Nothobranchius furzeri: one gene and its partners. Each later gene encodes a partner of the first gene's protein in a complex. Links are inferred from orthologs where the notes say so. Each region holds a gene or a part of one and is shown in the gene's direction. Other genes may lie near its edges. The genes, in order: taf1a, ubtf, polr1b, polr2h, tbp, rrn3 and polr1h.

Region 1 (4,197 bases):
ACAATGTAAACTTGACTTTACTTTTATTTACAAACGGAGCGTTAAGATAAAATAACTTTCATTTTTATGAGAAAGTTTCTACATTTCCATATTTTACAGGATACAGTTTACATGCACATGTACCATGTTTCATTCCAAGTGATACTTTGTGTCATATTTTACACTTTAACAAAACGTTGTTTGATATTTAATACAGAAATACTCATCCAAGGTGCAGCTAAGTATTGGTCTTTGGGTGCTGCCATAATTTTTTGTGCTTTTATTTATGTGACAGTGTTTTATTGAGGCTTTGTTTGATTTGCATTTGTTCTCATGAACTGTATCCGTATCTGTTTTTCTAAGGTGGTTCTCCCCACACACCAGGATTTGTTGGCTTTTATCCACACTTTGGTTATTTCCCTGAGTGCCAATGTGATTTTTTATTTACAGATTATTACAGATTAGTTTTCTCCCTCCAAAGGCAGGAGTTGGAGTCTTTCCAGTTTTTGGTCACACTTAATGATGCCCACATTAGCAAAAAATGACAACATTTAGACATAAATCATGAACTAATGGCCCCTTCCAAACTGGTTGATAAGCATAAAAATGTTTCTTGAAACTAAGGAGGCAAATAATGGACGGAACTCTTCTGTTTCAAGTAATCATATTTATATGTTTGACATGGAAGTAATATGCATTATTATAAAAGTAAAAAATAGTTGTTAATCGTGGTACAACTTCTTTTTATTTATTTATTTATATATTTATACATTTATTTATTATTATTATTTTTTACCTTTGTCAGTGGATAAAGTTAAAAGCACCACCAAAATAAAAAGCCAAAATGTCAACTTTTTTACTGTTGTATCTTTTTGTCATTTTCACAGGATTGAGAATCGATTGTTTAACAAGTAATTAAAGCACATCCTACTACATAAAAGCTTGTTACTCTGCATATTTTTGTTTGAACTTTCTATGATAGACCAATTGCTTGATTTAAATAGTTTTGTAAGATCATCTTTGTAGATTATTTCTCATGTTTATTAGGCCATTTTGGAACCACTATTTTTCCATTTTGGGGCGTTTTAGTCCTCCTTATGGCAACTATTTCTAGTGATTTCTTTTAAAAAGCTCGGAACATGTTTAGTCTGGCTTACCTCCCTCTTCCTCACCAACTTCTTTTTATGCTAGTGTTTATGTATTTTTCGGCCTCCAGTGTTGTTCAGTTTTATTCCTATGTTTAATCTTGAATTTTTATTATTATCTTTTTAATCAAATGTTTAGCGCTTGCAAAGCGTGTTGTGACTTTTATTTAGAAAAGCCCCAATGTAATATCAGCTCCGCCTTTTCCGGTGTAGTTAACCAATAGCATTGCAGCTTTCTCCCCAGCTTCCTTTAGCCGTACTTAAAACGTGGGTTTTACAAATAAGTCATATGAATATGTATCTCGGTTGTATACACTGATATTATAACACACTTTAAGATATTTTCCGGCATTTGTAGCTCACTTGAATTAGCTTATATAATTTGTAGATTATTCAGCAATCCTTAGAAACACCTAACTTTACTCCTGAGAGGAGGTAAGCTAACAAAGGTTTGTTTACATGTGATCCTGCTAGAGGATGGTTGATTTTTTAAAATCCTGATTGGCTCTTTTTGGATAACAAATAATTTCAATAATTTTGGAAAGTTTTACTTTAGTAAAAGAGGGGTAGATTCCCAGTCTTTCATTGACAGCTATGCTAAGAACGCTAACTAGCTTGTGTGTTAGCAGCACTCTTGAGCAGGTGTCACCAACACAGAGGGCTACCATCCTGCACATGTTAGCTGTTTCTTTGCTCCTACACACCTGATTGAAATGAACGAGTAAATAAAAGGTCTATGCAGAGTTAAGGAGATGATTAAATTACTTCATTCAGGTGTGGTAGAGCAGGAAACAGCTATTTTTGAGAAAGTTGATGATAGGTTTGGAAAATCTCTATTTGCAGATGACGGTGCCATCTGGAGAAGTGGGAGGAATTTTAAGCATTTGTTTTCTCAGACACCGAAAGCTTTAGATCAAATTGTGCAGTGGGCAAATAACGGAGGATTCAAGTTATCTATAGTAAAAAGTAAATTTATGATCTTTGGCTTAAAAAGGAAAATCCCATCTATGAATATTCATATTTATGGCTCTGTGATTGAAAAGGTTTAAGTTTTTGGGTTTGTGGTTTGATGAGAAATTAATCTGGAAAACACATAGAAAGATTAGTAAGCAAATGTGAAAAGGTAATTAATGTCATGAGGAGTTAATCAGGTAGCAGCTGGGGAGCGGAGAGAAGTACTTTACAGTTAATCTATAGGGCTATGATTAGGCCTGTTTTGGATTATGGATGTGTGGTTTTTGGGAAAGCTTCTAAATCTGTGTTGTGTAAATTGGATTATGTGCAGTTTATGGCCCTAAGAATCTGTTGCAGAGCATTTAGATCTACTTCAGTTCCAGCATTGCTGGTTGAAACGGGTGAGTACCCTTTGACAATGAGGAGGGGAAAACTAGGAGTTCATTATTGGCCGGGTTTAGTGGCAGCTTGGCGTATAAATGTCTCATAGATGATTGTCGGGAGTCCAGTGAAGATCAGGATAAGGACAGTTTCCTAAATCATATTGTAAAACTAGTAAATCTCCTAGGACTACAAAAGGAAATGGTGGTGGGGTTAGTGTGGTCTCCAATACCGTTTTGGAAATTACCTGAGCCAGAAGTTGTTTTGGATTTACTAGGATTAGAAAAAGCGGTTGCCATTAAACTGTTAGAAATGTATTTAAGTGTTCAAAGATGCTATCCAAATTTATACTGATGGATCTAAAGAAACTACATTTCATAGAGCTGGTTTTGGGGTTTATATTGTCGAGCTATAAGTTAGGTCAAGTGTTTGTGTGACAGATAAATTATCTGTTTTTTCTGTTGAGCTTTTGGCTATTTTGTAGGCAATGAAGTGGATAGTGGAGCATAAACCATCTCACACTATTGTCTGCTCTGATTCTGCTGCTGCACTGTTGACTCTAAGTAACGGGACATCTGAGGCATGGAATGACTTAGTTTTGGAGATTTTGTGTTGTCTAATGGGCCATTCCCATCTGTACCGGGTCGGCCCGGGCTGGGTTGCGTAGGTTGTTTACATATCTGGGTGGCCTGGTATTTTTCCGGGCTAACCAAGGCTCATTCTCAGCCCTCTTCTCGAGGGGGTCTGCTTCAGGCCGACCAGGGCCAACACACCCACTGCTGACAGCAAATTCACACCTTCCATTAGAGCAAGCCTCTGATTGGTGGGTAGAATCAGCCCACATGGGCTTAAGGCAAGGATGTGTGGAATCAACCGGGCCAGGCTGGGGCCGACCCGGTACAGATGGGAATGGCCCATTAAAGACGCTGAGAATGCGGGTTCTAGGGTGGTATTTGTCTGGGTCCCTGGACATACTGGAATTTTGGGAAATGAAATGGCAGATGCATTGGCCAAAGACTCCATCCTTAGAAATAGCATTGATCATCATCTTCCTCTGGGAAAAAGAGAATGTTAATAGTATGTGCATGCAGTAACTATTTAAAAAATTTGTGGCAGAAAGAATGGGAAGGGGAACGTAGAGGAAGACTTTATTTTCCTTGTCAGCCGTCAGCTCATACTAGTTGGCAACCCTTAACCTGTTGTCGTAGAGATGAAGAGGTGATTGCCAGAATGAGATTGGGGCACTGTGGTCTGGCGGCATGCTTATTTAGGATTGGTAAACATGTAGATGGGTTGTGTGAGTGTGGTAGTTCCAAAACTGTTGTTCATGTATTGTTGTCATAGCCTGGCAAGCCAGACTAAATAAATGTATTATTTAAGATAAGGATTAGCAAACTTTGCAACACAAGGATTTGGTCTAGTTCACTAGGCTATTGTTGTCATGCAGGAAATACAATAGTGAGAAGCGGCAACTTTTTTATGGGGCTGGTGGATTTGGGGATGGAATCTTTTTCCTTTTTTTTTTTCGATTAGTGCAAATTCCCAATGTGTATATAGCTTGATTGTTCAATTCCTTCATCACACTGGCATTTATTCGAGGATATAATGTAGCAGTAATATAACTGTGGTGGGCAGCATTGCACATTCCAGCGTATAGTCTGCTGGAAATTTATTATTATTATTATTATTATTATTATTATTAGAAGAAGAAGAAGAAGAGGAAGAAGAAGAAGAGGAA
Region 2 (4,000 bases), on another chromosome or scaffold:
GCCAAGAGTCTTAATGAGATAAATTATAGTAGGATTGTTCCTCAGAGAGAAATGTGTTCGTTATTCTTATATTATGTTTAAAATACTATTTAAAACATAAACGTTCTAAAAACATGATACGCAAGCATAATATTCTACATGGGAAAATTACTATTTTAGCTGCCTTTTTATCCTGCTAATAGGTTAAATAGTTGGTTTTATTTTTAAGTCTAGTATTGTCTAGTTTTATTCAGCCATATTCATGATTTCAATCTTCATCAAAGGCAAAACAAAAAAGTAATTAACAATTACACGTTAAATTCGATTTAATACTTTGTAACCACATACAGGAAACATGATATAAATTACTGTGAAAGATAAATACGAACAGGATAATTGAAATTTAAGGTAAACAAAAAAGATAACACAATTGAATTCTTCAAACTATATTATATAATTTTAATTGTAATTGTAGAAGTTTATTTAAACAGTGACAGTGCACAACTTGACATTAACCACAAAAGAAAGATGCAATGTACCAGGTTATAGTGGGGATGCTAATTTCCACCTGTAGTGCCTGGGAAGGTTGATATTAAAATCACTAAACTAAAACAAAAGACGACTGTTTTTGTCCAGTTAGCTAAATTCCTGACACTAATCCAATAATACTTTATTCCTACTGTAAGTGAACATAGCACAGTTTAACAAGACTGAGTGCCTGAAAGTCTTTGTTTTCCTTCAATCGGACGGACTGGATTGGACGGCCGGGGGTTCCGCCCACAAACACACAAGGTGGAGTTGAAAAAATAACATGCTGGGCTAAAATGAAGCTGTCAAACAGCCAGTTACGTTTGAGTCAAAGAGGTTTGGTGCCGGGGGAACGGCACGGACACCGGAAATAAGAGTTAGGAGAATAATCAGACACTGATTGGTGTCAATTATAAACTTTAAAGATGTGTGCGTTCAATGAAAAAAAGTTCACTGGTGGCGTTTAAATTAGGTAACCAGTAAAGCGATTTTTCTTTCAAGTGTAGGCAGACGAAATGTTAGAGATGCAAACTTCAGTGGGAGACGTGAAAGTCGGGCTCGATGAGAAACAATAAACTCTGCTGGCTGAGCTCAGAAAATCAGCGGCGTTAACACTGGGGAACATGGGGATGTGTCGGTGTAGCGGAAATGGTTGGATGGAGAGAAGAGAGCTGCTGCACGTTGACTGGAGGGAGACAGCGAGAGAGATGGAGGCGGGGGGAAGGACCATCTCTGCGGGGACTGGAGCCCAGGACCGACGGCGCAGTGCTGGCTATCGTTCAACCCTCCCCTTCTTCATCCACAGCGACGCGGAGGCTCGCGCCGAGACAGGTAAGCAGCACGAAAGTCGGTCGGTTTCATAACCACACGTGGAAAGAGCGCGATAAACAAACCAGAAAAGCGGTTAAAAGTCGAAAAATAGACATTCTGTTTTTAATGTTGTCTACCAAAGCTCCTTAGGCGGCAGGATCTTTGTGGTAACGAAACAAACTCCCCGCTGGAAGGGCGCAGACGAGGTCGGCCTTACCCGAATTTCTCTGCCCAAACAGCGGGGAAGAAGCTGGATGTAAGACCCAGTGGTATGATGTCTACTATAAATTACACCCAGTGAATTCATGAAGCGAATTAGTTTCACGTAGCATCGGGATTTAGCTAAGCAATCGTTTGTTTCGCGTGGGGAAATGTTTTCCGGTAGTTTCCGCGCCGAGACCTCCACGCGGCTGTTGGCGGAACAGCTAGCCGCCTCTCGGTCAGCCATCAGGGATCTCGGTTTAATATCTCACCGTGAGGAGACTCGCCCTCCCCTCTCCCCCTCTCTCTCTCACTGACTAGCCCAGAACCACCGACAACCGAGCTCGGAGAACCCGCCTTTCCGTCCTCGCTTATGCGCTTTTTGGAGCTAGGGAAGGGAGTCTGCAACGCCCCGGCTAGAGCTTTCGGCTCCGTTTTCAGTGTTCGCAGTACGCCATTGGACCTTGTCACGGTAGGTTTGCTTACAAGAGCGGGGCTGGTAGCATGGCGGACCTGGAGCCGTTTTGTCGCGCCAGAGAAGCTGCTCAGCCGCGGATTGTTCTTTAGATATCCGATAATGAAAGAGCCGATTAAAGCCCACATTTTCCTCGAAACGGAGAATAACTAACACTAACATGAAGTAATTCAAAATTAGGTCAATAATGTTGTTTCACCGTACATATATTTTTTATTTTAATTATGTTTCGCGCCTCCGCAAATAATTTAACCTAACATTTATTAATTTTCGATCTGGTGTAACTTAATTTAGAATATTTTGGAGCATTTTGTATGGTTGTCAAATAATTCATGTTAATTATACGTTGTAAACACAAGTTAATGTGATCCCTAAATCGTCCTTGTGTGACACAAATTTTGATTAGTAGCAAATACTGTTGACTAACTGTGCTACCTTAGATGCTGGTATGATTTTAGGCTTCTTTTCGACATGCTAAGTTACACGGCGTCTTATGTTTTTTTTTCCACATTTATGTAGTATTTTTGACTAAACGTCATAAATCCGACGTTTGAATTTGACATTCTGCGCATTTTACATAAGAAATATGTCGAAAGTAGTGTTAGAAACGACGCGAGGAGACACGGTTGAGCTATCAAGGACAAGATGAACAACGGTCATCCGCCATCATTGGAGCACAGCTCGGCTACGCCTCGCTGAAGAATGCTCTGGCTTTTTGGTCCAAAAAACAACTGCGTGATACCACAAAGCGAACAAAATGTTGAGTGAATTATTCTAAAACGCACACATAAACCCCCTCACGCGTAGAATGCTAGTTTAGTCGTTCTTGTTTTGGGTAAACATTAGTGGAGAAGACTTTAGGGCTGCGTGGCGGAGCTAGATCCACGTCCAACGGTGATGAGGCGTCTCCGCCGAGTGGCGCATTTGGCTGCAGTGCTTCCAAGCTGCCATTCCAGGCTGTCGGAGACCGAAAGCAGATCCCCCGTCCGTGGTCAGCTGGTCGCCTACAGCTGCCTGTCTGTCCACGTTCATTCGCTTCCTCCTTCCGTGGATCCTCCCCAACCTCCGCTCCGACAGAAAGTCCTCCATTACCGAGCAGACCGAGCGAGAAAATGGTCGCTCCTGAGCGTCCACGATACTTCTGTTGTAGAATAAGGACAGCACTAATTCGCCAAATTCCGGTTGGCCCAAAAATAAAAAATAAAAAAAAATAAAAAAGAAGCTCGACAGGGACTCCTGTTGTCGTCGCTAGATATGCTTAGTTGAAGCCCTCCGCAGTGTTATTTGAGATTTGAAGCCGTCACAAGCAATAGCCTATGCCTCACCATGCAGCGTAAACGTTTAGGGGCGGTGTAATGAACATAAACCATTATGTCGGCACACATTTCAACTCAAACGACTTACAACAGAGATCAGTTATAATAAAGTTAGAAAATATGAATTTTAGTGATTTTGATTAATTTATTGTTTCTTTTGTAGTTCAAAAATCGCATTTTCACAAATGAATGGAGAAATGGAGGCAGCGACACATGACCAAGGTAGTATATTTATGAGTCATTTTTATTTATATATATTTTTTTAACAAATGACAAATACTTGTATAATCACGAAATTGTTTTAATGAATTCCACATTTTGTCATCATACTATAAACATAATGCAACCATACTAATAAATCCATGAACCAGTTTACATGTATTTTTTTATCAGTGTGGTCGCAGGATGACCTCCTAAAGCTGCTGGAGGCCATGAAAGTGGCTCTGCCACAGAAAGATCTGACTAAATACAAAACATCCGAGTCCCATCTGGACTGGCAGAAGGTGGCCTTCAACTCCTACACTGCAGAGATGTGTAAACAGAAATGGCAAGAGGTCTCTAAAGAGGTGAGATGCTCAGATCATGATTTTTAGGTCGTAAACCTTTTCAGATGTAATATTTAGATTAAGTTCTTAAAGAGGTCCTCCAATGAGAAACAAGTTTGTCTTATTTTTGGAAATGATCTGTTACA
Region 3 (3,486 bases), on another chromosome or scaffold:
GACAACTACCCTAGTGGCACCAACGCCATCGTGGCCGTCATATCGTACTCGGGCTACGACATGGAAGACGCCATGGTGAATATGAGGTGATTATTTGGAAGCCTCTGTTTGGGACGAGTCGCTGACGCTTGTTGGTTTTAACAGATCGTAAACAAGTCGTCCTGGGAGAGAGGCTTCGCTCATGGGAGCATCTACAAGACGGAGTTGGTGGACCTGGCAGAGAAGGTGAAAGGAGAGGACAGCGTGGTGTTTGGAACCAAGGCAGGCGACCCAAAAGTGAAGGACAGGCTGGATGGGGATGGTCTTCCTCACATCGGATCAGTGCTTCAGTATGGAGACCCCTTCTACAGCTACATCAACCTCAACACGGGCCAAAGCTTCGTCACCTTCTACAAGTAAGAGTTGGTCTTTCTGCTGGTCAACGTTAGACCAGCAGCTTTAGCAAACACAGAAACCAGTCCTACTTTACTACCGGGGTTGGGAGTAACGCCGTTTAAAATAACGGCGTTACCAACAGCGTTCTTTTTTAGGGTAACGGAATAATCTAATTAATTACTTTTCCCGCTGTTGCAGCGCCGTTACCGTTACCGGGGACGGAAGGTTGTGCGTTACTATGTGCGGGTCGAACGTTGAGCAACAGTGTGAGGCTTTCTGACCGCCACACTTCAGCTGCAGCCAGGGAGAGAGAGGTGTCGTAACAAACACGATGGTGATTGGCCGGGTGGGCGGAGACCCTCACGGTCTCGGTCACTGCATGCTGTAGACACAACAGAGCAGTGATGGGAATAACGCCGTTTAAAATGACTGCGTTACAAAAAAAAAGATTTCTTTCTGTAATGAGCAAACTAATTAATTACCGTCTTCTTTTATCAAAACGTCGTTTCTGTTACTGATATGGAAATGCGTGCGTTAAGCAGCGCGGTGTGTTGAAGCTGTCATCAGCTGATCAGGAGCTAAAGAGGCAGATGTTTTCATCCAAGCGCATCACGGCCCGTGAAGAACGAGGAAGATGTGATGAATAGTCTACGCCCTTCTTAGCGTGACAGCGGGGCGTCCTGAAGGTCCGCTCACCTGTTCACCGCTCAGACGTCGTGATCTTCTACCTTCCTAGATCATCCAGCTGTAACCTGTTTCTGATCATGTCTTTAGTCCCGCTGTAACACTGATGCATCAGTCTCAGACGTCATGGAGCTCAGGTGTTATTAGAACTACCTGTGTGTGTTTACCACCCAGCTTCAGCTCTTCTGTGGTTGGGTCTGACCCAAGTTAGTAAATGTAGGTCCTCCATCAGGCTTGTGCCTCTTCTAGTGTCATTTTAAAGGATTTTATTTATTTAACCGTTACTAGATTAGCAGCAACAGAAATGCTGATAATAACAGACAATTATGTGAAGCTGGAAACATTAAAATGTTGTGCAAAACTACATTCATTTCTGTAATTTAACTAGACCGAGAGACCATTTAAAGGCTCGGGAACCTTTACAGGTGTTTCTATTTGCAATTATAAATTTTAGCTGACTGGGGTCTTGTTAAATATCACACAGTGACCTTTTAATAGTCTAGATAAGTGTAATGTTCCTGTTAGTAGTTCCTCCTGTTAAGTGCTTATTTATTTAAATTATGCAGGTTTATAAAAAACATTTGGACATACATTTTATTATGTTCCAGTCATTAGTCATTTATATTTCACCACTGTAGTCGTTTATAGTAAATTAAGTAAGTTCAATTAACCCGTTTTTCTTGCATTCTTTAATGAAAAAAAGTAACTAAGTAGTTATTTTTCTTGGTAATTAGTTACTTTTATAATCTCGTAACTCAGTTAGTAACTGAGTTACTTTTTTGACAAAGTAATTAGTAACTATAACTAATTACTTTTTAAAAGTAACTTTCCCAACACTGTTTACTACTTTTAAACTCTTTTTGCGTTTTTTTTTTTCATCTGCAGGAGCCAAGAGGCCTGTGTTGTCGATAACATAAAGATCTGCAGCAACGACTCCGGTTCAGGGCGTTTTAAACGAGTCTGCATCACCGTCCGAGTGCCTCGAAACCCCACCATTGGTGACAAGTTTGCTAGTCGCCACGGTCAGAAGGGGATCCTGAGCCGCCTGTGGCCGGCGGAGGACATGCCTTTCACCGAGAGCGGTATGACTCCCGACATTCTCTTCAACCCCCACGGGTTCCCCTCCCGTATGACCATAGGAATGCTCATTGAGAGCATGGCTGGGAAGTCTGCCGCCCTGCACGGCCTCAGCCACGATGCCACGCCGTTCACCTTCTCTGAAGACAGCGCGGCGCTGGAGTACTTTGGTAAAATGCTGCGAGCGGGTGGCTACAACTATTATGGAACAGAGCGGCTGTACAGTGGGCTGAGCGGTCAGGAACTGGAGGCTGACATCTTCATCGGTGTCGTCTACTACCAGCGGCTACGTCACATGGTTTCCGACAAATTCCAGGTGAGGACCACGGGAGCACGAGACAAGGTGACCAACCAGCCTGTGGGAGGAAGAAACATCCAGGGAGGCATTCGTTTTGGAGAAATGGAGCGCGACGCCCTGCTGGCTCACGGATCCTCGTTCCTGCTTCATGACCGTCTTTTTAACTGCTCAGATCGCTCGGTCGCTCAGGTGTGCATCGACTGCGGCAGCCTTCTGTCACCACTGCTGGAGAAACCTCCGCCCTACTGGTCTGCCATGCGAAACCGGAAAACCGTCTGCTCCCTGTGTGGCAAAAGTGACTCCATCGACTCTGTGTCGGTCCCGTACGTCTTCCGCTACTTCGTAGCCGAGCTCGCAGCGATGAACATCAAAGTCAAGCTGGAGGTTAAATAAAGTTTTTCAGAAGAGAAACAAAGACTCGTGCCTTAATTATGACTTGAGTGGAAATCAGAATCAAGAAATCAGTGAAACCGTGATGTCGTGTCAATGTGATAGTTTATCAGCCATGATGATGAAATGTTCTCCAAACCCAATAAAAGTATTTAGCTAACAGCGATGGCTCTGTCCTCTTTGAGCCCGACTCGAAGGAATAAAACAGGTCGATATCTATATTTTACCCGCTGTTGTAGACGGTGCTCTGAACAGCCTCAGTTGGGAGAAATAGATTATGTTCTTCAGGACTGATGCCGCCATCTTTAAAAAAACTAAAATAATTCTAACTTTTACACTGAAACACTTAAAAATAGATGAAAAAATAAACGGCAGAAACTTAAGTTGATTTTTTACACTTGGAGAGATATTCCACCCCTAGGTGAAACTTGGTCTGTTGCCATATTCCCCAGAGCTTGATGAGTGGGGAAAACCAATAAGCCCAGTCATTCTGTTAGCTTAGCTTAGCGTAAACAATGGACGGGAATGGTAGCTAGCATTTCAAGCACTCAAATTCCAGAAGACACCAAGTTCTGTAAACACAAATGCGTGGCTGTGGACTCGTACCGGTACAGTTCTTTGAAGGAACAGCATATTCATTTGCACAAAAAATGTCAGAGTCC
Region 4 (4,006 bases), on another chromosome or scaffold:
CTACATAAACGTCTCCCCACTATGACAGAAAACACACCAACATAGCAGATTTCCATGTTGAAGAAGAGCATTGTTTACCTGAATGACACGAGTCTTAGAGTCTCTTAGAGCATTTCCTCTCGGTTTTGAGACCAGCTTGCCTTTCCTTTTGCATTCCTTGTCAAAAACCTGAACAGTCTCCTCAAACTCCTCAAACGTGAGGTACTGCAACAAACAAACAAACATGATTCAACTTAAACAGTGAAGGATGACACTGAGTTTTGGTGCATTTCATTCATTTTCAGCGAACATCAATATTGCTGTGACCCAGATATCTTCTCTACCTCTTTGATCATCCCAAGAAGATCAGCTTCTGTTGCCAAGACGTCCCCCATCTTGGCTTCCTCACTGGAACTCATGTGTGTACCGAAAACATTTAATACCCCTTTAGACGGGAACGATTTCTGCTTTCATTCAAAAACGTTTATAGATCTAGGGTTCAAGCTAAAAGGTGCAAGAACAAAAGAGCAAAATACATAAGTAAAAACTTAATTCTATGAGCAGTAGTAAAAATAACCAAACACCAAAACGCACAACGGAATGCTAGTGTAACTTCGGCAGGCATGTGGGGTTTTATACCATCTTAAATGGTTTAACATCAAGATTAGCAACAACTTATGAAGCTACAAGCTATCTAATTAGTTGACACACGACAGGACATTAACATGGCTCCTACCTTATTCGCACGTAATTTGATTTGGGAGAATTGACGTACAAACAAGTTTGTGATGCGTTAACAAGTAAACGAGATCCATAAAGTACATTTTTGCTCGCTTTGTCGGACAGTGAACGAAAAAATAGCTGGCAACCACAAACAGGAGGGACGCTAAAAATACCTAGCAACCAGAGGGTCACCGGAAAGTAAATGTGAGTGTCGTAAACTAAAACTAACTAAATGTATTATATTTTACAAGAAAATATATTGAATAACCTTAAGTTATGAGGCATGCGATTTAGAAAAACAAAAGTAAACGATTGTAAATTATAACAACGCACAGACAAACGTAATTGTTGACCTTTTTTAGGATACATTATGCAATTTTAATGGTAAAACTATTATTTTAGTACGAGTATTATATTTTTACAATTTCTTATGTTTTACTTTGCTTTTTAACATAAACATTTATTTTTTCATTTTATTTTGTTTTATGAGAAGTACTTCCCGTGTCAAAGGTTAATCACGTTGTTTCTGCGCGCCACAGATTGGCTAGATAGCAATGAATTAAATTACTCTTAAATAACAAATCTAGCTTATGTTTTGAACAGTCGCTGTTGTCCTAAAGAATCGAGTAGTTGCGAGGCTTCTGTGTTTGCATTACGACATCTAAAAATAATTTGGGGTAAGTGCAACAAATGAATTAACAGTATGCTAAAGCTAGCTGTTAGCCAAAATAGGAGATTCAACGTGGAAGATAAAACTTGCCAACTTTAACTGACGTATGTCCTAGTCTTATTTTTATATAAAAGTATTTTATGGTAATATGCTTATAGCAGTTGATTTCTTGTGCTACCTAACGTTTCATTGCTTTTTAAAAGTTACTATAGTTTATTACGTTTTATTTTTTGTTGACAGGTTGTTCAAGTCATAACAGGGGCTTAAACATTTGATCCCCTGCACAAATTCACAGAGTGGGCCAACGATGGCTGGAATTTTGTTTGAAGATATCTTTGATGTGAAAGACATTGATCCAGATGGCAAGAAGTTTGACAGAGGTACTTATGAAGTACAATAACGTATTGGGGTGACTTATTTAATTATTCCATCATATTGTTTTTGTCGTATTGACATAATGCACAGGTATATTGACTCATGAGTAATCATTTATTCTACGTTTTTATTTGCCCACGTTAAGGCAGACTTTACATAGTGATGTTAAAGAAAATCTGGCATCCTGAAGTTAAAAGCTAATATAAAATTGAAAGACATTCAGCTCATTAAGAGAGCAGTTAAAAAACCAACTTGCTTATTGGATTTAGTTTATACAGGTGCTGGCCAGTAAATTAGAATATCATCAAAAGGTTGAAAATATTTCAGTAATTCCATTCAAAACGTGAAACTTGTACATTATATTCATGCAATGCACACAGACCAATGTATTTCCAATGTTCATTACATTTAAATTAGATATTCATAAGTGACAACTAATGAAAACTCCAAATTTGGTATCTCAAAAAATTAGAATATTCTGAAAAGGCTGAATATAGAAGACACCTGCTGCCACTCTAATCAGCTGATTTACTCAAAACACCTGCAAAGGCCTTTAAAAGGTCCCTCAGTCTTGTTTTGAAGGCACCACAATCATGGGGAAGACTTCTGACTTAACAGCTGTCCAAAAGACAATCATTGACACCTTGCACAAGGAGGGCAAGACACAAAAGGTGATTGCTAAAGAAGCTGGCTGTTCGCAGAGCTCTGTGTCCAAGCACATTAACAGACAGGCGAAGGGACGGATAAAATGTGGTAGAAAAAAGTGTACAAGCTCTAGGGATAACCGCACCCTGCAGAGAATTGTGACGACAAACCCATTCAAAAATGTGGGGGAGATCCACAAAGAGTGGACTGCAGCTGGAGTCAGCGCTTCAAGAACCACCACGAGGAGACTCATGAAAGACATGGGATTCAGGTGTCGCATTCCGTGTGTCAAGCCACTCTTGAACAAGAAACAGCGCAAGAAGCGTCTCGCCTGGGCCAAGGACAAAAAGGACTGGACTGATGCTGAGTGGTCCAAAGTTATGTTTTCTGATGAAAGCAAGTTCTGCATTTCCTTTGGAAATCAAGGACCCAGAGTCTGGAGGAAGAGCGGAGAAGCACAGAATCCACGTTGCATGAGGTCCAGTGTAAAGTTTCCACCGTCAGTGATGGTGTGGGGTGCCATGTCATCTGCCGGTGTTGGCCCACTCTGTTTCCTGAGGTCCAGGGTCAATGCAGCCGTCTACCAGGAAGTTTTAGAGCACTTCATGCTTCCTGCTGCTGACCAACTTTATGGGGATGCAGACTTCACCTTTCAACAGGACTTGGCACCTGCACACAGTGCCAAAACCACCAGCACCTGGTTCAAGGACCATGGTATCCCTGTCCTTGATTGGCCAGCAAACTCGCCTGACCTTAACCCCATAGAAAATCTATGGGGTATTGTGAAGCGGAGGATGCAATACGCTAGACCCAACAATGCAGAGGAGCTGAAGACGACTATCAGAGCAACCTGGGCTCTCATAACACCTGAGCAGTGCCACAGACTGATCGAGTCCATGCCACGCCGCATTACTGCAGTTATTGAGGCAAAAGGAGCCCCAACTAAGTATTGAGTGCTATACATGCACATTCTTTTCATGTTCATTCTTTTCAGTTGGCCAACATTAGAGAAACAAACATTTTTTCATTGGCCTTTAGAATATTCTAATTTTCTGAGATACCAGATTTGATGTTTTCATTGGTTGTCACCTATAAATATCAAAATTAAACGTAATAAACATCGGAAATACATTGGTCTGTGTGCATTGCATGAATATAATGTACAAGTTTCACGTTTTGAATGGAATTACTGAAATATTTTCAACCTTTTGATGATATTCTAATTTACTGGCCAGCACCTGTATAACCTACAGCAGACAATGTTTATAATCTACTGACAAATTCTCACCTATTGCAGTGTCTCGTCTGCACTGTGAGAGTGAATCTTTTAAGATGGACCTCATCTTGGACGTGAACATTCAGATCTATCCTGTGGATCTTGGTGAGAGCGTAAGCCCTTTTACCGAGGGCACTCTTATTTAGTTAATTCTTAATACAATAAAAATCTGACTTATAACATATTATAAAGGTGACAAGTTTAGACTGGTGATTGCCAGTACTTTGTATGAAGATGGAACACCGGATGATGGAGAGTACAATCCTCAGGATGATCGACCATCTCGGTGAGACATTTTTTGCACTCTTCCATCATCTCGTAGTGTGTGTGATCTTTTG
Region 5 (3,360 bases), on another chromosome or scaffold:
TGATCTAAACTTTGCATCCTGTAACAAAAATACAGCACAAGTAGGGCTGGGGGTAAACGATTATTTTTAAAACGATTATTCTGACGATTATTTTATCGAATAGTCGACTATTCTAATGACTATTTAGAAAATTAATCTAATGATTATTTTTCTATTGCACAATTAACAAAAACCAGAAAATCTCAAATAAATTCCTCAAAAAAATTGATAAATTGTTACTGTAAGAGAATAAACACTACAGGCCTTCCATTTTGTATAACACTGCTTTTATTGTGTTGCGGTTGGTTATGTTCTGGTGACGTGTAGAACTTGGGAGTGCAGGCTGCTGCCTGAGAGGTGGTAGAAGATGGAGTGTCTCCACGCTGCTTTGTTTTGGTCACTTATGTGCGTGAGGCGAGTGGTCTTACGGGTTAAACCAAACTCAAGGTGATATTTTACACTAAACCGAAAACCCACAACACTCTAAATGTAATAAAAGGGAGATCTACACCACAAAAAAGATTAACTCTAAACCAAAACGTAACAGCTTATCCCAACGCAAGAAGCTGTTAGCGAAGATGCTAACAGTAGCTTTACCAACGTTAAGTTCAAGTTACCAAGTTTAAATAAACCAAAACACCCAGCAGCAAACAGACCAGCACGGAGGAGAGACTGCTACCACCAAAACAGCTCTCCTAATGTCTGAAAGAAGCTCCTTTATGAAGGGAGAAACGCTCCCGGTGATTTTCTACATCTGCGATAGAGACGGAGCAGCGCATCTGACCCCGGAAGTTGTTGTCCGTTGCCGGGAGACGAAGGCGGGCAAAACAGGAAAATAATCTAGTAGTGGACGGACATTGTTCCGGGTCTTCGGTATTTGGCGGAGATGTTAGTGAAGGCGGAGAAGAGGGCGAACTAGAGGAAAAACAGGCAGATTCCTCCTCTATTTACAAACTCCTGGGGATGCAACAAGTGGGCGCGGTGCGTCGACTTCCGGATCTGACGTCGACAAATTTTTAGAATCGAGCCGTCGACGTAGTCGAGGCTTCGCTACAGCCCTAAGCACAAGGGGAAGCTTCTCTGTCATCCTGGACATGATCATCTTGAGTTGAACTGAAAATAGTAGAAGGCTTATAAGTTCTGGTCAGAAACACACTGACAAGTCTTGTATTTTGTAAAATGATTTTGTCAAAATTGGGCAATATTATTGCTCCTTTATTCCAGATCATGTAGCAAGTATAATAACAGCATTGATACATTTATGGCCAATCCATAAGCAGCAAAAAACCTGATCTGAGCATCGCTAATGTTTGCAAAGATTTAATTAAAAATGGTACATTTTTTTAATTTAAAATTCATATAATTGTGAAAGTCTAACTTGTGTTTTGTAGCTATGAACCGGAGCTGTTTCCAGGACTGATTTACAGAATGATCAAACCCAGAATCGTCTTGCTCATCTTTGTTTCTGGGAAAGTAGTGCTCACAGGTAAGGCCCGAGCTCTCAGACGGGTGTATTTTTAGATTCTAGTTAAAGTATCACCTAATAATTTGGCACATTGTTTTGGATCTCCTTTTATTTTGAAAGGATTGTAATTTTTTTATTTAAAATAGAACAAGAGATTCTGTAAGTTTTCTAGATTCATCTTGATACTGATCCATGTTTCAATCTTTTTTGTTTTTCCTGAAGGGGCCAAAGTGAGATCAGAGATTTACGAAGCATTTGAAAACATTTACCCCATTCTGAAAGGTTTCCGCAAAACGACGTAGGACCTGGGGTTTCTTTTCCACCTCCTGAAACCTGATCCTCTTATTTCATTCATTATTTAATGTCACATTTTTAATGAGAAGGTAGACTGATGCAGGTGTTGGGAGTTTTTTCATCCATCTTTCTGTCTTCAATTTTTTTAATCATCATTTTAAAGGTTGTTCTTTCACTCTGACCATGTTTATTGTGTCCTGTGGTTGCAGGTTTTTGTTGTCCCATCTCATCCCCAACTGTACATATGACTGTAAAAAATGTAAAGTGTTGTTGAGCAGAAAAGCAGTTCGACGACTAGGACTGCTGGTTTTATGTGAAGCTGTTTTAAATACTTTTATACTCTCAGCTGTTAGCATTTGTTGACCTCTCTTTAAATCCCCTGCTGTACATGATACTTGGGATTTTAAATCCTATGCTTACTCCCTTAAGGTAGAAAATAATCCTGATTAATGACTTTTTTTTTACACTCATTGGGAGTAGACGCCCATTAACTCAAGCTGAGCTAATCTTTATTTGACTGGCCAAGTTGTCCATGAATGTTTGCTGCTGCTAAACAGTTAAGTTGTTTAGAGGCGTTTGATAACTTTCGACTTTGTCTGGTTGAAGTCGTGAAACAATCTTTCTGTTGAAAGAGAGAACTGGTTTGTTGTGGTTACAGGAAGAAAGTGTTTAATGGTTAAACTTGAATGTGTGTATATGTTCTTCTGTAATTAGAATGAGAAGTGATGCCAATCTTAAAGTCGATGCAGCTCTTCAGCGGGATTTCAGTAGGCTCAATATTGATATAAGGGAAAAAAAGCTCTTATGATTAATATTAATTTCAAACCCATGCAGTATAGTTTTAAAAATGTTTTTGGTTGTTTCAAATCAGCAGAATTTTGGCTGTTTGGCCTTTGTCTAAAATTAAAACTCAAGTAGGATCACATTGAAGTCATTGCTGGTGGTCTTATGTGTTATACGGTCAGCTAGTGACGTTTATGGCAACTAGTTAAAAGTCTGGTTTATTTAGTGACATGTTCAGTCTCCATCTTTGTCTCTTCTGTCTGATTTCTGTCCTCCCAGCAGACTCGAAGAAGTTTGGTCCATTGTTTTCTTTTCCACCCAATAAAAGTGTACATATGACTCAAGTCTACTTGGTTTTCTTTGCAGCAACATTTTACAGCTGAAGTCTCTTGCGTAAAACCAAAAGTCACCATGAAGAAATAAACTGTGAAGACTAAAATACTGAATCCCTGTATAGAAATAGTTTAGGGAAAACCTCTGGGTAAGAGTTAAAACATGTTGTAGTTGGATGTTAGAGCTGCAGAAAATACATAATTTCTCTGAATATCTGAAATAAAGTAATTTGTGTATTAAACAATACAATCATTCTTACAAAAGGAATTGTGGCTTATTTGATACCCATCATAAAAAAGACAAGTCAGGATTGTCTCCCATGTAACATCAGTCAAAAGAGAATCATTTGTAGGTGATTATGTTGGAACTGACATGTCAAAATCATTAAATTTTAAGAACAAGGGTGGTATGGGCTTCTGGTCAGGATGCTTCCTGGACGCCTCCTTGGGGAGGTGCTTCGGCATGTCCTGCCGGCAGGAGGCCCCCGGGTCGACCCAGGACACGTT
Region 6 (3,933 bases), on another chromosome or scaffold:
TTAAGGGGGGGGGGGGGGGGGGGGGCATGGCCCCTGGACTCTGACTAGAGCACTTCCGCCCCTGGATTCCTTGGTAGTTCTGCTGTTGTGTTTGGGTCATGGATCTGTTTGATGATCTGGTTCAGTTCAAGCTTCAGCTGGCAGACAGATTGACTCTGAGACTCGGTGGTCACTGAAGGAGTTTCTGATTAACTCGATTACTGTTTCTTTTTATTTCCGACGTTCTCAGTCCAAACAGGTACACCAAAGTTTGTCTGAAGGGATGCAGCCTGTGGATTTCATCCGTTCATTTCATCACGACGTAAAGCAGCAAAATAAAATCGGATGCATTTACCCTCTCAGGCTCAAAAATAAGTTTTGATAAAAGGACGAACAACTAAGTCCTTCAGGGGTTCTGAGTTAAAACATGCTCATGAAATACATGTGTGGGGTAACCAGGTAGGTAGGTTTTAACGTTGCACATCTGCAACGCCGACCTCTAGAGGGTTAAATCAACCCAGTCAAGCCCTGTAAAAGAGTGTAGCCAGTCCCACCCAACATGGGTATCAGGTTGTGACCTTTGAACTTAGTTGAGAGAGACCACTGGTTTTTCTCCAGGATGCAGAACAACATTGATCTGAAGTGTTTATTTTTCTTTTCACCTATTTATTTTAGCAAAAAGTAGAATACTTTTTTTTCCCCTTAAAATGTGCTTGAGGTAATATGTTTTTCTAAATGACACACTAGTCTGGTAGAGAAACAAAACAAAGTACAATAAAGATATAAAGTTTCAGAGGCACAGTAGATGTGATGATCACAGTTTGCTATGTGAAAAAATCCACAGTTTTAGTTAATTATGCTCAACACTTCAAAGAAATTGATGAACTGTGAAAAAAATAATTCTCAGGTGCTTAAATTTAACATTTGTTTTCCCTGATGAACACATTATATATTTTGAATTAGCAATCTTGTAGCACACAGGTGGTAAATTCTTACAGAAACTATATTTAGCTAATATTACATTCAGGGTGAAACACAGTTATTTATCGTAAAATAATGCTTTTCTGTTTACTGTAAAAAAAAAAAAAAAAAGTGGGTCTCGCGCACCGCGGGAAGAGTTTTAATGTGACACCTCATCACTCTGTTCCGGAAACACGTGATTTCTTCCGCCTGCGCTCACAGCAGCTTGCCTTTGCTTTTCACTAGTGTTTTGGGGTCTTGTATTGATATTGTTCCCCGTCTTTATTCCGGTGAAATGAGAGAATACGTTAACGTATACGTTTAGTTTGATGATAGCCACGTTAGCTCGTGGAAACCAGCGCGTGGCCGGAACCATGGATGCAGACGGTAGGGACTTCCTCAACTCTCCTCCGGCCAAGACGGTCCGGTTTGGGGGGTGCGTAGCGGAGACTCTGGAGAAAGCCAGACACGTGAGTGCTGTAGCTGGTCCAGTCCAGGGCATGGTAAAGACAACAGCTAGACTTCTCTGGCTTAACATGATCTCGGCCAAGTTTAAACTGATAGATGTTAAAGATAAAAAAGCAACATGTTTAATTGGGACCCAAGGTGCCTCGAGGGTTAAAAGACGAGGAATGAGTTTTAACTTTAAACCAAAAACATGAATGTTTCAAATACAGGTGGAAGGTGAAATATCCTGGGTGGTTGTGCTGTGGCAGAATCATTTTACTTTAGTTTGATACGATTGTTAGCAGCAGGAGCAGCTCCTTTCACCTTCCTCTAAGAGCCCTGTGTCCTGATGAGGCGCTTGTCTGTTTTTGAAGGGGGACACAAATGACTACGAGCTGCTGAAGCATCAGCTGGTGGATCCTGAAATCAAGGTAAAACCTCTGAGGCTGATCTTGGGTCGGTGTGAAGGTGCGAATAATGGTCATGTCTCTCTGGACAGGATGCTCAGCTCATCAGCTGGCTGCAGGAGTTTCGGAGCTGTGTGACTCAGTTGACAAAGGACCATGAGCAGCTGGTTTACACGATTCTGGTGAGAGGACAGCTTCACTGATGAGGAGAGCTCAAACCTTCATTTGATCAGATTAGATGGTTCATTTCCCTTAGATTATCTGATTGAAAACAGAACTTAGTTCAGTGATTTCTGTAATTATAGGGAACAATTGTTAGCTGTTTGCAATGTCAGCTGGCTCCTATTCATGAGGAGGAGGAGGTGGATCTAGTCCTTCCTCCTAAGCCGGGCGTACACTGTGTGACTTTTTCACTCGTAGCACTCAGCTTCAGCTCACACTGTACGACTTCCTCGCAGGGCAGATCTCACGAGTCAGGTGCTCACACTGCACGACCCAGTTCTCGCATGCGACCTGACTGCTCACACTGTACGTCTGGTAGCAACATGTCGGACCTAAAAATGTGCTAAAAATAGCAGTTTTTACTCAACACGTCAGACTTTTTTGTTTTGTTTTGCCTGTTGTCCTTCGGGAGTGCTGCAGGAGGACACACAGGGATTTATGGGGGTTGGATGAGGAAAACAAAATAAAGAAAGTAAATCTGTGTTTTGTGATCAGTTTAATTTGACATGAACACGACAAACACGCTTTCTTGACAATCTTTGTGAGTAAAAAACGTGTAGAAACAAAAATGAGCAGCGTGTGTTATTAGGGAAATAGCGGACGAGCAGTGTTGATGCAGGATTGCGCCGTGAGCGGTTCTGATACTTTTTGGGTCGCAGCCGCTCGCAGCGCCGCTTCAACAGTGCGATACCCTCACGAGGAACGAGCGAAATATTAAACACGCCAGAAGTTTGTGCGACCTCACGATTGCTGATCGGTAGCTGGTCACGTGGTGTTACTCGCCTCTCGTAACCCCTGTACACTACACGACGCTCAGCGCACACTGTGCGACTTTTTCACTTTTTTGAGCCGATTTTCCAGTCGTGCGAGAATCCACAAGATCGGGGCGAGTTTTGCGCCGAGCGGTCGTGTAGTGTACAGGGGGTTACGAGAGGCGAGTAACACCACGTGACCAGCCGCCGATCAGCAGTCGTGAGGTCGCAGGGACTTCTGGCGTGTTTAATATTTCGCTCGTCCCTCGTGAGGGTATCGCACTGTTGAAGCGGCGCTGCGAGCAGCTGCGACCCAAAAAGTATCAGAACCGCTCACGGCGCATGCGCGCGCAATCCTGCATCAACGCCGGCCGGTCGCTCGCTATTTCCCTAATAACACGCTGCTCATTTTTGTTTCTACACGTTTTTTTACTCACAAAGATTGTCAAGAAAGCGTGTTTGTCGTGTTCATGTCAAATTAAACTGATCACAAAACACAGATTTACTTTCTTTATTTCGTTTTCCTCATCCAACCCCCATAAATCCCTGTGTGTCCTCCTGCAGCACTACCGAAGGACAACAGGCAAAACAAGACAAAAAAGTCTGACGTGTTGAGTAAAAACTGCTATTTTTAGCACATTTTTAGGGCCGACGTGTTGCTACCAGACGTACAGTGTGAGCAGTCAGGTCGCATGCGAGAACTGGGTCGTGCAGTGTGAGCACACGACTGTGAGATCTGCTCTGTGAGGAAGTCGTACAGTTTGAGCTGAAGCTGAACGCTGCGAGTGAAAAAGTCGCACAGTGTACGCCCGGCTTTAAGGCTGCAGAGGAAAGTCAGCTCAGCTACTTGTGTTCAAGGACCCCCCCCCCCCCCCCCCCCCCACACACAGGGGCTCTCCTTGGGGTCAGCAGCCCCCGGGGGGCTGGGAAACCCACACACTGGTTGCGTTGGTACAGCTAACGGTGTTTCTGAAGAGCACCCAACTTTTTGACCATTTTACATCAAAGATTTGCAGGTTCATTGTTTTTAAATCGCACACAAACAAAAAATGGCCTTTCATAGAAGTAAAGTAGATTTGTAAAGGATTAGCTAACAATATAAAACAGCCGAGTAGCCACGTGCCCCTCAGATGTCCAAATGCTGTAGGCCCTTCTAGATCTACACA
Region 7 (4,166 bases), on another chromosome or scaffold:
CATCCTGTCTATACTTGTGTGAAAGCAAAGAGTTGGTTGGTAACACAATCTAAGGGTGGATCTGTTAGTCAGGAAGCACTGATGACTTCGAGTAAGTGTTCTGCAGGCAGGACTGGGATGATTTAAATCCAGAAATTTGTCACTGAGGCATGTGAGACATGATGGTAGAATTGATATGTTGTTAATAAAGTTGCTAAAACATTTTAATCTTCATGATAACATTTTGCAACACGACCTTCAGTCACAAAGCTTTATTCTAATGCTCCACTTTTTGTAATCTTTTTCTGGGATGTCTTGAAAACAACAAAGGAAGATGAAACAACCTTCTGTGATCCATCCACGTCTGCTGGTGAAGTTCCGTTTCCTCCCTGACACATTATATGGCAGGAATTGATGGACCATTTAATTACTGAATGTGTGATGTCTACATCATCAAAGAAAGATTAATACTTGCATTAGGGCTTATTGTTTGTCATTCTTTTACTGTGTTCAAATTATGAATTGTATTTTTGATTTTCATTAACATTTAAAAGGAGTCCACAAATAATATAATATGGAAACAATTCATTAAAATAAAACACCTATGGAAAAGTCAGACATCCGTTCAAATTTTCTACATACATGCACCAAACAAATGAATGATCATAGGTTTCAGCCTGATAAGAAAACACAGCATCACTGTCTCAGCTGGTCGGTTCCAGTTTCACTCCAATGTGAACTAAACTAAATCAGAAAATTTCAAAATTTGTGATTTTAAGAACATTTGGTTTGTGTGACATCTGTAACCACCGATGTGTAGATTATTCTAGTGGCCTTTTTTTTCTTCTTCTTTTTTTTTTTTTTTTGTAAAATAGATAAAAATAAACAGTTATGAGCAGTACTGTTTTTGACATGGGCGACCTGGGTAATGGCCCAGGATGGCATCATGAGAGGGGTGGCAAAATGGGTACGAAAAAAAAACTTATTTTGGGAGCGCAGTGCCTGAACATTATGCTGGTGTGTGTAACTTTTGGAAACATTTGTTCTGCTGCGTGCTGCAGAGGGAGGAGGACAGGTCTGCTGAAGCGGCTTGAGTGAAGCAGCATCTAAAAGTAAAGTGTGTTCGCCCAGGGCACCGAACAGGCTAGGACCACCCCTGGTCATTGTTGCCCCAAATCTCTGCACAGTAATTATGAGTTTAGTGTTGTTTATTATTTCCACGTATGCTTTACTTTGGTATTGAAATGCTTCTGGAGATGCTATATGATATTTCCACCTTATTTTATTGTTTGACACCATTTAATGGTATTTGCGAATTAATTTAATTATTCCCAAATAACATTTTGGTCATTAACTCATGTCACGTAAACAAGCGTGCGACACTAGCACGTCCTGCGTCATCAGCCTGCGACAATAACGTGATAGGACCATATACATAGCTGTGGATAGGACCCTAGGACCTCTACTGCAAACAAGTGACCGGTGAAAGAGGTTTGTAACGTTTTATACTGACTTAATAAATGATGACAGTAGCGCTGTTTTGAACTAAATGTGTAAAGAATAGCCGAATACTAATATAAACATGTAAAAGGTTTCCAAGTAGCTCCACGTGCTCAATGTGCTGCTGCTACTACTGCTAATAATAACAATAACATTCACTCGTTAGATTTCATCACACAGCCAGGAGGTCTTTTAAAGTGTTAATTTATAAAGTGCTAAGTCTTCATAACGGAAGTTACGGTGTAACTATGGTTCTGTGAGTTCCTGGATGACTGCCAGTCACAGGGGTCACTCGGAACTTCTCGGGCGAGAAGATCCCGGGAGACCCGAACGTAGCTATCGGCGCGTAATTTATAGACTCGCGACCAGGTGCGCTACGTGTCACGTGCGTGACTTTGTTTACATTAGTACTCGACCTGCGCAGAGCGCGAGGAGATACATCCACTCTGTTTACTGCCACTGGCAGTCAGGAGGGAACGAAACAGAACCCATGTGAACCGAACGGGAAACCAGTGGTTCATGGTTTTGATTGTTGTTTTCAACGTGTCTGTGTTTCTCAAGAGTCAGCAGCCCGGTTCGACGGGATGTCTTATTTTAGTGGTGACCCGAACTTCTGTCCTGAATGCGGGAACGTTCTTCCGGTACCAGTAACCTCCAACACTGTCCTGTGTCCTCGCTGCTCCTTCTGCATTCCTGTTTCAGGTAACGTGTCCCAGAGCCGTTTCTAGCTTTGTGAGGGCCTGATTCAAGAGGCTGTTTGGGAACCCGGGTGGAGGTGGTGATGATTCCTCAAAGTACCACAAGTGTAGTAAAAAGAAAAAAAAATCACTTCACAGTAAATGTATTTAACGTGATAGTGATGCACCGATATGAAATTTTTGGGCTAAAACAAATATACAATATTAATATCACCGTTATGGCCGAAAACCGATACCGATATACCGACATTAATGCTTCTAAAATCAGCAGATTTTGTGTAGGGCTTGTGATCACACGTGATTACGCATAGCATTCTGCAAACTGTGAAATAAACGGTACTGTCGCAGAGTAGAAGCAGATTTGGGTGAAAGAAAGTGTTAAATCACATAAAATCCCAACAAGGATGTGGAATATACAGGGACATGTTATATAAAGACGTCGGGGACCGGTATGTGGACAAAATCATCATTATAAATGGTTTTGATCCACATAAAAGACCCAAGACTGGAGCACTGGTGACATATTGTTGCAGCTGCAGTTCTGCATAACAGACTTTTTCGGCTATCTTGTTTAACGTCCAGATGAGAGGTAAACGTTTAATTTGTTGGTTTTTCTAGTAAAACAATCAAAATTGTCATCCCTCAGAAGAAGTGTAGCGAGAAAAGTTATGTTGTGTATCATTAGCTTACCGGTAGGTGAGTGTAGCCTCTGTGTACGTGTGTGTTTCGTGTGCATGTTGCGGTTGAGGGAAAGAAACGATGTATAAAAACGTACACCATCTGTAATTTACCAGAATGAAAATAATTTGGAAGGTGATGTTTGGTCGCCTTACAGCTGCGATCCAAGTGAGCTAACAAGACTTTATGCTAGATACTTGGTCTCTGTCGTTTTGCCACTAAACAGGAAAACTGTGGAAAGTTAGCTTGTTTTTCACCTTAATTCCACTGGCGATCACGTGTGTCACATGAATTAATAATACATAAAAAGTATCAGCTGTTGTGCTACAGCTACTATTTACCGTCTATGTGGTAGATTACTGTAAATACAGGCATGAACATGTAAGCACACAAACAAATACATATATCAGGTGCATCCTGCATGGAGTAGTGACCGTAGCGTTTAAGTGGCTGGCTGACTAATGACGTCATAATGTGTTATAAATCCCATCTACTGGTGGAATCGGTGGTCTACGGGAGTGCTCCTTCCTGCAGCGGGGGTATATCAGTTTCTGACTGAATGAGCTGCTCAGGTTGATGTGTGTTGTTCATGATGGATGTTAGCTTAGCTAGCATCCTCCTCTCGCCCACCACCGATTCCAGGGGGCATCCCAGTACAGAGCTAGTCCTCTGCACCAGTTTGCCAATTCTGTTCTGGTCCCTGTCTGTACATCCGCTTCCCCAACAGGCCACTGCATAGAAAAGGGCAGATGCAACCGACAAATCATAAAAAGTCCTTCACAGAGTTCTGCATACTCTGAAGGACCTCAGTTTCTCAGCAGGTGGAGTCAACTGCATTTGAGATGGGCAGATGAAGGACAGTCCTTGTGGTAACTCTGGGAGAGCTTAGTCTGACTGATTGTTGCCTTTCTCCTTTATTGTTTTTTCATTAAAAACAATACGCATCCAAGAAGAAGAAGAAGAAAAGATCTCTTCTATAGCGCCTCTCAAGATAAAAATCACGAGGCGCTTCACAAAAACAAAAAATGTAAAAATATAAAAAAGAATTTAGAAAATGATTAAAAATATATTTAAAATGAGCAAAAGATAGACAATTGTGATTAAAAATGTAAATAAAGAGAGAGATTGAATAGGAAAGAGGGAAATCCAACACAATTATCTTGAATTTTAGAAACACACACACTTAAAAAATACATATTTCAATCAGGGATTACAATTATTATTTTTTTTTTCAAAATTTATCGTTTTAGCTTTTTAGAACAGTTTAATTTGCTTGTTGCTGTCATAACAAAAACACCTACAAAAACTATT

Evidence for each region.
Region 2: taf1a (region 1) and ubtf share a complex: the UniProt entries of both Homo sapiens proteins name them as parts of the pol I pre-initiation complex. The link is inferred for Nothobranchius furzeri from reciprocal best matches to the Homo sapiens genes TAF1A and UBTF.
Region 3: taf1a (region 1) and polr1b share a complex: the UniProt entries of both Homo sapiens proteins name them as parts of the pol I pre-initiation complex. The link is inferred for Nothobranchius furzeri from reciprocal best matches to the Homo sapiens genes TAF1A and POLR1B.
Region 4: taf1a (region 1) and polr2h share a complex: the UniProt entries of both Homo sapiens proteins name them as parts of the pol I pre-initiation complex. The link is inferred for Nothobranchius furzeri from reciprocal best matches to the Homo sapiens genes TAF1A and POLR2H.
Region 5: taf1a (region 1) and tbp share a complex: the UniProt entries of both Homo sapiens proteins name them as parts of the transcription factor SL1/TIF-IB complex. The link is inferred for Nothobranchius furzeri from reciprocal best matches to the Homo sapiens genes TAF1A and TBP.
Region 6: taf1a (region 1) and rrn3 share a complex: the UniProt entries of both Homo sapiens proteins name them as parts of the pol I pre-initiation complex. The link is inferred for Nothobranchius furzeri from reciprocal best matches to the Homo sapiens genes TAF1A and RRN3.
Region 7: taf1a (region 1) and polr1h share a complex: the UniProt entries of both Homo sapiens proteins name them as parts of the pol I pre-initiation complex. The link is inferred for Nothobranchius furzeri from reciprocal best matches to the Homo sapiens genes TAF1A and POLR1H.

Annotation. Positions count from the first base shown.
Region 1 is NC_091742.1:8,334,908-8,339,104, reverse strand, and holds the start of taf1a (TATA box-binding protein-associated factor RNA polymerase I subunit A), read left to right. Parts: upstream 1-1,397; 5' UTR 1,398-1,559; intron 1,560-1,671; exon of another isoform or gene 1,672-2,090; intron 2,091-4,162; 5' UTR 4,163-4,197. UniProt on the Homo sapiens protein: Component of the transcription factor SL1/TIF-IB complex, which is involved in the assembly of the PIC (pre-initiation complex) during RNA polymerase I-dependent transcription.
Region 2 is NC_091745.1:10,210,543-10,214,542, forward strand, and holds the start of ubtf (nucleolar transcription factor 1), read left to right. Parts: upstream 1-1,200; 5' UTR 1,201-1,338; intron 1,339-1,833; exon of another isoform or gene 1,834-1,990; intron 1,991-3,472; 5' UTR 3,473-3,494; coding exon 3,495-3,531; intron 3,532-3,702; coding exon 3,703-3,875; intron 3,876-4,000. UniProt on the Homo sapiens protein: Recognizes the ribosomal RNA gene promoter and activates transcription mediated by RNA polymerase I (Pol I) through cooperative interactions with the transcription factor SL1/TIF-IB complex.
Region 3 is NC_091752.1:7,765,347-7,768,832, forward strand, and holds the end of polr1b (DNA-directed RNA polymerase I subunit RPA2), read left to right. Parts: coding exon 1-75; intron 76-144; coding exon 145-395; intron 396-1,944; coding exon 1,945-2,827; 3' UTR 2,828-2,986; downstream 2,987-3,486. UniProt on the Homo sapiens protein: Catalytic core component of RNA polymerase I (Pol I), a DNA-dependent RNA polymerase which synthesizes ribosomal RNA precursors using the four ribonucleoside triphosphates as substrates.
Region 4 is NC_091748.1:62,882,983-62,886,988, reverse strand, and holds the start of polr2h (DNA-directed RNA polymerases I, II, and III subunit RPABC3), read left to right. Parts: upstream 1-1,206; 5' UTR 1,207-1,379; intron 1,380-1,612; exon of another isoform or gene 1,613-1,667; 5' UTR 1,668-1,679; coding exon 1,680-1,752; intron 1,753-3,689; coding exon 3,690-3,773; intron 3,774-3,860; coding exon 3,861-3,954; intron 3,955-4,006. Other genes in the region: lisH domain-containing protein ARMC9, read right to left, coding at 79-204, 324-398. UniProt on the Homo sapiens protein: DNA-dependent RNA polymerase catalyzes the transcription of DNA into RNA using the four ribonucleoside triphosphates as substrates.
Region 5 is NC_091749.1:35,004,844-35,008,203, forward strand, and holds the end of tbp (TATA-box-binding protein), read left to right. Parts: intron 1-1,370; coding exon 1,371-1,465; intron 1,466-1,666; coding exon 1,667-1,746; 3' UTR 1,747-2,860; downstream 2,861-3,360. UniProt on the Homo sapiens protein: The TFIID basal transcription factor complex plays a major role in the initiation of RNA polymerase II (Pol II)-dependent transcription.
Region 6 is NC_091758.1:12,122,455-12,126,387, reverse strand, and holds the start of rrn3 (RNA polymerase I-specific transcription initiation factor RRN3), read left to right. Parts: upstream 1-1,133; 5' UTR 1,134-1,268; coding exon 1,269-1,409; intron 1,410-1,760; coding exon 1,761-1,817; intron 1,818-1,885; coding exon 1,886-1,975; intron 1,976-3,933. UniProt on the Homo sapiens protein: Required for efficient transcription initiation by RNA polymerase I (Pol I). Required for the formation of the competent pre-initiation complex (PIC).
Region 7 is NC_091751.1:25,535,587-25,539,752, forward strand, and holds the start of polr1h (DNA-directed RNA polymerase I subunit RPA12), read left to right. Parts: upstream 1-1,366; 5' UTR 1,367-1,470; intron 1,471-2,040; 5' UTR 2,041-2,063; coding exon 2,064-2,181; intron 2,182-4,166. UniProt on the Homo sapiens protein: Core component of RNA polymerase I (Pol I), a DNA-dependent RNA polymerase which synthesizes ribosomal RNA precursors using the four ribonucleoside triphosphates as substrates. Can mediate Pol I proofreading of the nascent RNA transcript.